Linked DNA regions of Canis lupus familiaris. Each later gene encodes a partner of the first gene's protein in a complex. Links are inferred from orthologs where the notes say so. Each region holds a gene or a part of one and is shown on either strand. Other genes may lie near its edges.

Evidence for each region. Proteins that work in one complex are often made in the same cells at the same time.
Region 2: TMEM126B (region 1) and COA1 share a complex: the UniProt entries of both Homo sapiens proteins name them as parts of the mitochondrial complex. The link is inferred for Canis lupus familiaris from reciprocal best matches to the Homo sapiens genes TMEM126B and COA1.

What each region holds. Positions count from the first base shown.
Region 1 is NC_049242.1:13,911,749-13,916,140, forward strand, and holds the start of TMEM126B (complex I assembly factor TMEM126B, mitochondrial), read right to left. Parts: upstream 2,986-4,392; 5' UTR 2,913-2,985; coding exon 2,832-2,912; intron 1-2,831. UniProt on the Homo sapiens protein: As part of the MCIA complex, involved in the assembly of the mitochondrial complex I. Participates in constructing the membrane arm of complex I.
Region 2 is NC_049239.1:6,614,991-6,619,273, forward strand, and holds the start of COA1 (cytochrome c oxidase assembly factor 1 homolog), read left to right. Parts: upstream 1-1,355; 5' UTR 1,356-1,374; exon of another isoform or gene 1,375-1,610; intron 1,611-1,790; exon of another isoform or gene 1,791-1,875; intron 1,876-3,753; coding exon of another isoform or gene 3,754-3,765; exon of another isoform or gene 3,766-3,780; intron 3,781-4,283. UniProt on the Homo sapiens protein: Component of the MITRAC (mitochondrial translation regulation assembly intermediate of cytochrome c oxidase complex) complex, that regulates cytochrome c oxidase assembly.

The DNA.
Region 1 (4,392 bases):
TTATTTATTCATGAGAAACAGAGAAAGGAAGAACATAGGCAGAGGGAGAAGCAGGCCCCCTGTGGGGAGCCTGATGCAGGACTCAATCCCAGGACTCCGGTATCATGCCCTAAGCTGAAGGCAGACATTCAACCACTGAGCCACCAGGCGTCCCTATTTTTACACTTTAATAGATGAAAAAAAAAAAAAAAATGAGGTTCAGAAAGGTTGACCTCCCTTAGTACCTAGTGTAGAAGGATAATCTCCTGAGATACTGAGTTTTTATTTTCCTTCAGTTTCCCCCAAAGGCAGCGAGGTCCTTTGTAGTTCTTGCTGTAGCTTTTTCAGAGGTAGAAGGAAGCAATAGCTACTTGTTGGCAACTATCTCATGAAAGCCTGAGCTCATTTTGGAGATTATGTTTCCTGAAGAAGCAGAGCAGGGATTGCCTTGGAGAATAGTGACAGAGAACATCAGAAAGAGGGACACTGTTCCAGGCTAGGAAGAGGTAGTGGGTCATGGATAGCTTGGATTACATAAATTATATATCCAGCTCCCTAGGAGCCCCTGGGGCAGAAGCATAGCCTTTGCTGGAAACTTTATGTGGTATACCAGGGAGCCTGGACTCATGGCTGTGTCCCAAGTGTGATGTATGAACAAACAGTTGCCAATGTCAAGGGACCATGTAGGTTTATACGGTAGCATCTTAAAAGGAAGTAAAAAACAGTGATAGATAAAACAAAATTGGATCCTAGGAAAGGATCCTTTTTGAATGTTTTGCTCGGGGTTAGACTTGGATCTCTGTCAAAAGTCTTAACATTTGTTAAATCTTTTTATTTATGGGATTGGCATTATGGGATTCTAGATGAGATGATGAATAGATTAAAAAAATATGGCCCTTCACAATTTATATTGACCTCCATTTTAACATTTATAATCAAGGGGATAAACTAGATCTCAAATATCAGGGGTCTCAGGCAAGAGAATTGGAATGGATTAAGCATAAAGAACAGAGAAGATAAAAAATCGGTAATTCTCAACCTTTAGTGTGCACAAGAATCACATGGGGAGTTTATTTGAAATGCGATCTCTTGAACTCCCTCCTGATATCTGGATTCAATGGCAGTAGGGTGAAGTCTAGAAATCTTCATTTTAATAACATCAGTGATTCTGATGCTACTAATCAGTGGACACATGGCTGTAATTGTTGAACATCACTATAATTCTCATTTGCTGAATAAGTGATATGTACCAATCTTAACCCTAACTAACGAAAGGCTAATTCATCCATGGCATCAACATTCTGGAGATATGGGCTCTTCTCAACTTTCATAAGCCCAGGACACAATGAGTAATAATGGAAAAGTTTTCCTGCATCATTGCAGAACTGGACTCAGCTAGTACTACTCTTTTTGTTTAAAATATCTGGAGGACAAGGAAAGAAATTATAAATTACATTTTTCTCACAGACTAGATTTAATCTTTTGGCTCTATTGAACATCTAAATGGAAAATGGAAGATAACAGTAATATCTAAGGGAGATTCTGTATCTAATCCATCTAATGTTCTATCAAGGCAGATAACAGTAACATGGTAATTTATCATAGGTTTGTTTAAAATAAATGTTTATTTTACTGTCATCCAATTCATTTGAGTCTCTTACTTCCCACAAAGAAAACTCTTAGGCAATGCCTTATACCAACCTTCCACCTTATCTACACTATCAGTACACAGGGAGCCCAGAGACCCAGTATTATGATTCTAAAATGCTGAAAAAGGACAAATATGTGTTAAGTACAAATATTTATGTAGTGCCTAGTCTTTGGAAAGCACCGTTATTAAAGCAGAGAAATAGACTAATAACTTTCTGATACTTTTTTTTTTCTGATGGACTCTTAACAAGTACTAAAATGTAAAGACTTTGCTATAATCAACTTTCTAAAACTTTTTTCAAATTTTTATTTAAATTCCAGTTGGTTAACATATAGTGTAATATTGGTTTCAATAGCTGAATTTAATGATTCATCACTTACATATTAACACTCTGTGCTCATAAGAAGCGCCCTCCTTAATACTCATTACCTATTTAGACCATTGGCCACCCACCTCCCTCCATCTACTCTAATTAGTATTTTATCTAAAAACTGACTAGTCCAAGGCCGCTAAACTGGTCACCACTATTATCCCCGTAAGACTGTATGTATTCAGGTTTATAGTCTGCAAAGCATTTTACCATATTGTTCTGCTTTTACGTGTAGTATTTACCGGACTTTCAGAATTTTATTCAATATTCGCTCATCATTTACCAGCACTTGGTATTCGACAGACCCCAGGGTAATTAAGATGCAGTCGCGTTCTCCGGAATCTACAACCCAACCGAGGTCAGGACAAAAAAGGCAGGTAATTTAAAGGCAGAATTAGTGTGCCATAAAAACAAAACGAAAACAAACAGAAGACGTAAGAAAAGCCAAACTTAACCTAGCCAAGAGAAGTGTGGGAAGGCTTCCGGAGTAAGTGACGTTTAAACGAATACTTGAAAAAAAAAAAAAAAATAAACGAATACTTGAAAGAGGAGAATTTGGTGGGGTGGAGATTGCACGGTAGTATTTCAAGTTGAAAGCCAGCTCAAAGGCCAGGAGGCAAGAGAAAAGAAACTGCAAGCGGTCGGGACCGGACTTTAGGTCTCCCGCTTTCTCTCCGCCTCTTTCCACAACTTGGGGCTTCACTGGTTGCGCCCTGCACGGACCTGGGAGTCTGTTCGCTTTAGATTCTGAAAGCCCGTCATTTCAGAAGCGTCCGTAAATACACGGAGGCTGCAGACATCACGACTCCTACCGCCCCGGGTTCCCCCTACCTTGGACGCTTCCCCCGCTCTCGCCGGCACCACACCCGCGTCCTCCCGCTCAGCCCCGGCCGCACGCCCGAGCGCCGCCATCTTGGCGGGTCACATGACTGGCGGTGGGCGGGGACCCAGAGCGCCCGGAGCGGGAAGCGGTGCCGGCTCACGCCTCTCGCCTGCAGCCCGGCCCTCCCCGGCCCAGTCAAAAGCCGCGCCCTCCATCCTGGCTGTGATTGGGCGCGGCGTCCAGAGAGGAGGGCGGCCCATTGGCTTCGCGGGGTCCAGACGCCCGTGGGCCCGCCTTCTCGCCAGCCCAGCCTTCCCTTTCCCTGCTCCGTGTTAGCCGAGCTCCCCCTTGCCTCCTGCCGAGGGGTGCGTGGGGGCGGTCCGAGCGCGAGGATGTGGCTGCGCGCTCTCCTCCCCTCTGGGCACCTCGGTTAGCTGGGCCGAGCCGCCCGGCCTCTTCGCTCCTTGGGGGAGTCCTCCCCTCTGGCCTGGCTCGTGTGTTGAGGCTCCGGCTCCCCGGGCACCTCCTGCCCAGAGCTCGCAGCCGGCAGCCGGCGCGGCCCCGAGCAGCCTCCCCGCCCCCCGCCGCGGTCTGGCTCCTCTCCCGGCCGTTAGTCCCCTCGTATTCCGTCCTTTCACCCCGCTCGGAGAGGGGCCCGGGGGAATTCAACCCCCACTGCCCAGGAAGACCCCTCTGCCGGCCGGTGTTCCGGGGTGCGGGCGGGGGCGCTGCGAGGAGGCCTGGCGCCCTTTTGTGCACGTTCAGTGCCCAGCAGTACCTCCCAGACCAGCACCCCCGACCCTCCAGTCTCCATGTCTTAGAGAAGCCAAATTCGAGAGTTATATAATTTCTAGTGCTGCTGTCTCTCCTGCCTGAGGAAACACTTCATCGCGTGGAGGGTGCAGGACATTTCTGTGCACTTCTATATAAGAACGGGGTGTGGGCAGGGGTGGCCAGCGGTAGCAGAGAGATTGCTGGTCTTTTCTGCAAGAGGAAGGTGGGTAGTTTGGAGAGAGATGGAGAGAAAGGGTGGATGTGGAAGCCAAGCAGCAGAACTCTGATGTAGGAGATCGCGAACCGTTTCCACAGCTTGTGCTCACATGCCTAATACTACCACATCGTCTCAGAAAACACCTCTGGGGGAAGGTTTGACTTCTCTCGAACAGTCTCAGTGTTTTTCCTCGCCGGGTAGGGAGCTGCTTGGATGCGAAGAGATGGCATGATGTGAATGACTCCAGTGTGAAGAAATCTGCTTCGCCAACTCATCCTGCATCAAGTGCCCATTGAGTAGCGCTGTCACTTTAATGTCTCCATGCCAAGGGATTGCTTTCCTTCTTTTCAATCCTCTCGGTTAATACATGGGAGGATCAGAATCAGAGGGGCATTAAGGATTAAGCCCGAGGGGCTTGGAGAGCACAGAAGAAAAAAATGAAAGTGACAGCAAGCTGGATCCTGTCTTACTGAGGGGGTGAGATCTGGAACTTCTGGTCCAGTAAATAAAAAGGGGCCTTTCAGTCTGTGTTCTGCCCCCAGAAAACTGTTCAAACTCACCCACCTTTTCAGAGACCA
Region 2 (4,283 bases), on another chromosome or scaffold:
TACTAGCGCTACCTAAACTCATTTTATCTTCACCTCTATCAGAAAATAAGGAAACGTATTAGATATCCCCATAAGAACTTCAGAAAGAGGGTGAGCTCCAGGTTTAAACGACATGAGATTACACTTGACTAGTCCGGTCATGTAACACATCAAATTTAGGGGACCCACCAATGCCGAGACCCTACTTTTTTGGAGGAAAGGTACCTGGACTTCAAACTTACGTGAAAAGAAAAAAAAGTCAATAATGATGGTAATAGTGGCGATAATCATGTGGGAAACAAAGGCAGAAGGAAAATTAATTCCCTCCCTACTTGCAGCCCATTGACGAGTCCTTGAAACGGGCGGAGTGACATTCTTCTACGGGCTCAGCGGCCCCCATGTTGGCTTTGCTAAGGGCAAAAGGGCAACCTTGGCCTGACCCGCCAGGACCCTGCAGGTCTTCTTTAACATATAAAAATTCCTTTGGAAACTTCCTTTATTTTTATTCTGGAGTCAAGATACATGTTAGCAACCATCTTCCAAGCACAGGACCTATGGATACGTATCTGGCGGGGGGGTGGGGGGGGTGGGGTGTCTTATGATCAATGTTTTCTTTTTTTATCTTTTTTTTTTAAGATTTTATTTGTTTATTCATGAGAGACACACACACACAACACGCAGAGACACAGGCAGAGGGAGAAGCAGGCTCTACGCAGGGAGCCTGATGCGGGACTCGATCCCACGACCCCGGGGTCACGACCTGGGCGGAAGGTGGCGCTAAACCGCAGAGCCACCCGGGCGCCCTAAGGGTTTATTAGACAATAATATATGACCTTTTCCCAACAATAACTAACGCCTTCAAGGTCCTGGCAACCTTGTTTCCAGAATTCCTTTGAAACTTACAGACTTAGAGACTATCGCCCCCCACCCCAAGTTGAAGGTGTATAATTACTACCCCTCACGACCCCATGCAGCTTTCTGTCCACAGGTCCTGTCAGTAGACGTTTAATGAAAACCACCTCTTGGGGATCCCCGGGGGGCTCAGCGGTTAAGCACCCGCCTTCGGCCCAGGTCGTGACCCCGGGGTCACGGGATCGAGTCCCGCGTCGGGCTCCTGCGTGGAGCCTGCTTCTCCCTCGGCCTGGGTCTCTCTCTCTCTCTGTGTCTATGAATAAATAAGTAAAATCTTAAAAAAAAAAAAAAAAACCCAAACCCACCTCTTTTGCACGGAAGTCCTCTCAAGAATTCTTCCTCAGCCGAGGGCTTCCCAGGCCGCCATCCTCCTACGCGGTGACGGCAGGACGACCAACAGGGCGGTGGGCACGGCTGCGGCGTACGACCGCGGAGGCCCAGACGCCACCTGAGCGCTTTACATCCTTGGAACAAACGCACCGGGTAAAAATGCTGTTACCGTTCCTCGCGCTACTTAACTCAAGTCGTCTACGTTTTTCTTTTTTTTTCTTCTTCTTCTTCTTGCCCTCGCATTCCCTGGAGCGCCGTAGGCATTTCGCAGCGATTGGATGGATAAGACTGTCGTGCTGCCGTGTGTCAGGCGAAGGCGGCGAGTGGGCTCCGCGGGGGCTGCCGCAGCGGCGCGGCGCGGGGCGGGACAGAAGGGCGGGCTCTGCGGGGCCCACCTCGCTCCCCGGGCGGGGCCGAGCGTCCGCGGCGGCCTCGGCCCGCGACTCCGACCTGGCCCGGCGTGCCCCGCCCCCGCCCCCGCCCCCGCCCCCGCCCCGGCGCGTCCGGACGCTCTAGCCCGCGGGGACGCCGCGCCGGAAGTCTCCGCTGCTCCTCGCGGGGCGGGCCGGCCTGGGGGCGCGCGTACCCGCACTTCCGCCCCCGGAAGGAAGGCAGGCGCGCGCTTCCTGCGGCGCGCGGTTGCGGCCCGGAAAGGTCAGCGCCCCCGCGGCTCCGAGCCTCGCGTTCCTTTCACCCTCGGAGACGTTTGTCGCCGCAGCCTGCACGGTTGCGTGTGTGTGTGTGTGTGTGTGTGTGTGTGTGTGCGCGACGGGGCTGCCGGCGGGGGTCTCCTCCCGGGGCTTGGTCGCGGGGGCAACCCGCCTGCTGCCTGCGTGGTGTCGGGGCCCCTGTGGGCGCAGCGCCCTAGGAGGCTGCAGGGGGCTGCCGGGTGCTGCAGGAGGCTGCCAGGGGCTGCAGGGTGCCCCCCTCGCCCGCCTGCCCCGGGGTTCGGGGGTTCGGGGCCGCCAGCAGGTGGCCCTGCCCCGCCCTAAGCTGCCCTACCCTGCCCTGCCCTACCCTGCCCTACCTAGCCCTGTCCTACCCTACCCTGCGCTGCCCTACCCTGCCCTACCCTGCCTGGCCCTACCCTACTCTACCCTACTCTACCCTGCCCGGCTGGCCCTGCCCTACACTGCGCCGCCCTACCCTACCCGGTCCTACCCTACCGTACCCTACCCTACTCTGCGTGGCCCTGCCCTACACTGCGCTGCCCTACCCTACCCGGTCCTACCCTACCCTACCCTACCCTACCCTGCGTGGCCCTGCCCTACACTGCGCTGCCCTACCCTACCCGGTCCTACCCTACCGTACCCTACCCTACTCTGCGTGGCCCTGCCCTACACTGCGCTGCCCTACCCTACCCGGTCCTACCCTACCCTACCCTACCCTACTCTGCGTGGCCCTGCCCTACACTGCGCCGCCCTACCCTACCCGGTCCTACCCTACCCTACCCTACCCTACCCTGCGTGGCCCTGCCCTACACTGCGCCGCCCTACCCTACCCGGTCCTACCCTACCCTACCCTACCCTACTCTGCGTGGCCCTGCCCTACACTGCGCTGCCCTACCCTACCCGGTCCTACCCTACCCTACCCTACCCTACCCTGCGTGGCCCTGCCCTACACTGCGCCGCCCTACCCTACCCGGTCCTACCCTACCCTACCCTACCCTACTCTGCGTGGCCCTGCCCTACACTGCGCCGCCCTACCCTACCCGGTCCTACCCTACCCTACCCTACCCTACCCTGCGTGGCCCTGCCCTACACTGCGCCGCCCTACCCTACCCGGTCCTACCCTACCCTACCCTACCCTACTCTGCGTGGCCCTGCCCTACACTGCGCTGCCCTACCCTACCCGGTCCTACCCTACCCTACCCTACCCTACCCTGCGTGGCCCTGCCCTACACTGCGCCGCCCTACCCTACCCGGTCCTACCCTACCCTACCCTACCCTACCCTGCGTGGCCCTGCCCTACACTGCGCCGCCCTACCCTACCCGGTCCTACCCTACCCTACCCTACCCTACTCTGCGTGGCCCTGCCCTACACTGCGCTGCCCTACCCTACCCGGTCCTACCCTACCCTACTCTATCTACCCTGCGTGGCCCTGCCCTACACTGCGCTGCTCTACCCTACCCGGTCCTACCCTACTCTGCGTGGTCCTGCCCTACACTGTGCTGCCCTACCCTACCCGGTCCTACCCTACCCTACTCTACCCTGCGTGGCCCTGCCCTACACTGCGCTGCTCTACCCTACCCGGTCCTACCCTACCCTACCCTACTCTGCGTGGCCCTGCCCTACACTGCGCTGCCCTACCCTACCCTGCCCTACTCTACCCTGCCAGGCCCAGTCGGCCCTGCCCTACCTTGCCCTACCCTGCCTGGCCCTCCCCTCCCCTGCCCTACCTGGCCCTACCTGGCCCTGCCCTACTCTACCCTACTCTACCCTGCCCGGCTTGGATGGCCCTGCCCTACCCTACCCTGTCCTACCCTACCCGGCCCTACCCTACCTTGCCCTACCCTGCCCGGCCCTGCGTACCTGAGAGCACATTTGTGAAGAGTGGGGCGTCCCCTCTGAGCGGTGGAATCGGGCACTTTGTTGATGGTCCTGAGTTACAACCCTGTGAGGAAGACCCTGCCTCGATGATCATAGAGAAGAATTTTCTGACAGTTGGTCATGGTGACTTTAGTCCCCATCACTCTTGAATTCCATGCAGGGTTCTGACAGTAGAAATGACTAGATTGTTGGAGACAAGGACATATGAGCATGTGTGAGCGTCAGTCGGTGTGTCGTGTATAATATTAAAAATCCGTAGATTCTTACACTTTGATACTTGTTCCTTGAATGTTCCTCATTCTTACTTGTGCTTTATTTCTAAGGCACTTTTTTCCCCCTCTATTTCATATTTGCATAGAAGTAACAAACCGGGCAGCCCAGGTGGCTCAGTGGTTGAGCATCTGCCTTTGGCCCAGGACGTGATCCCGGGGTCCCAGGATCCAGTGCTAGGTCGGGCTCCCTGCATGGAGCCTGCTTCTCCCTCTGCCTGTGTCTCTGCCTCTCCTCTCTGT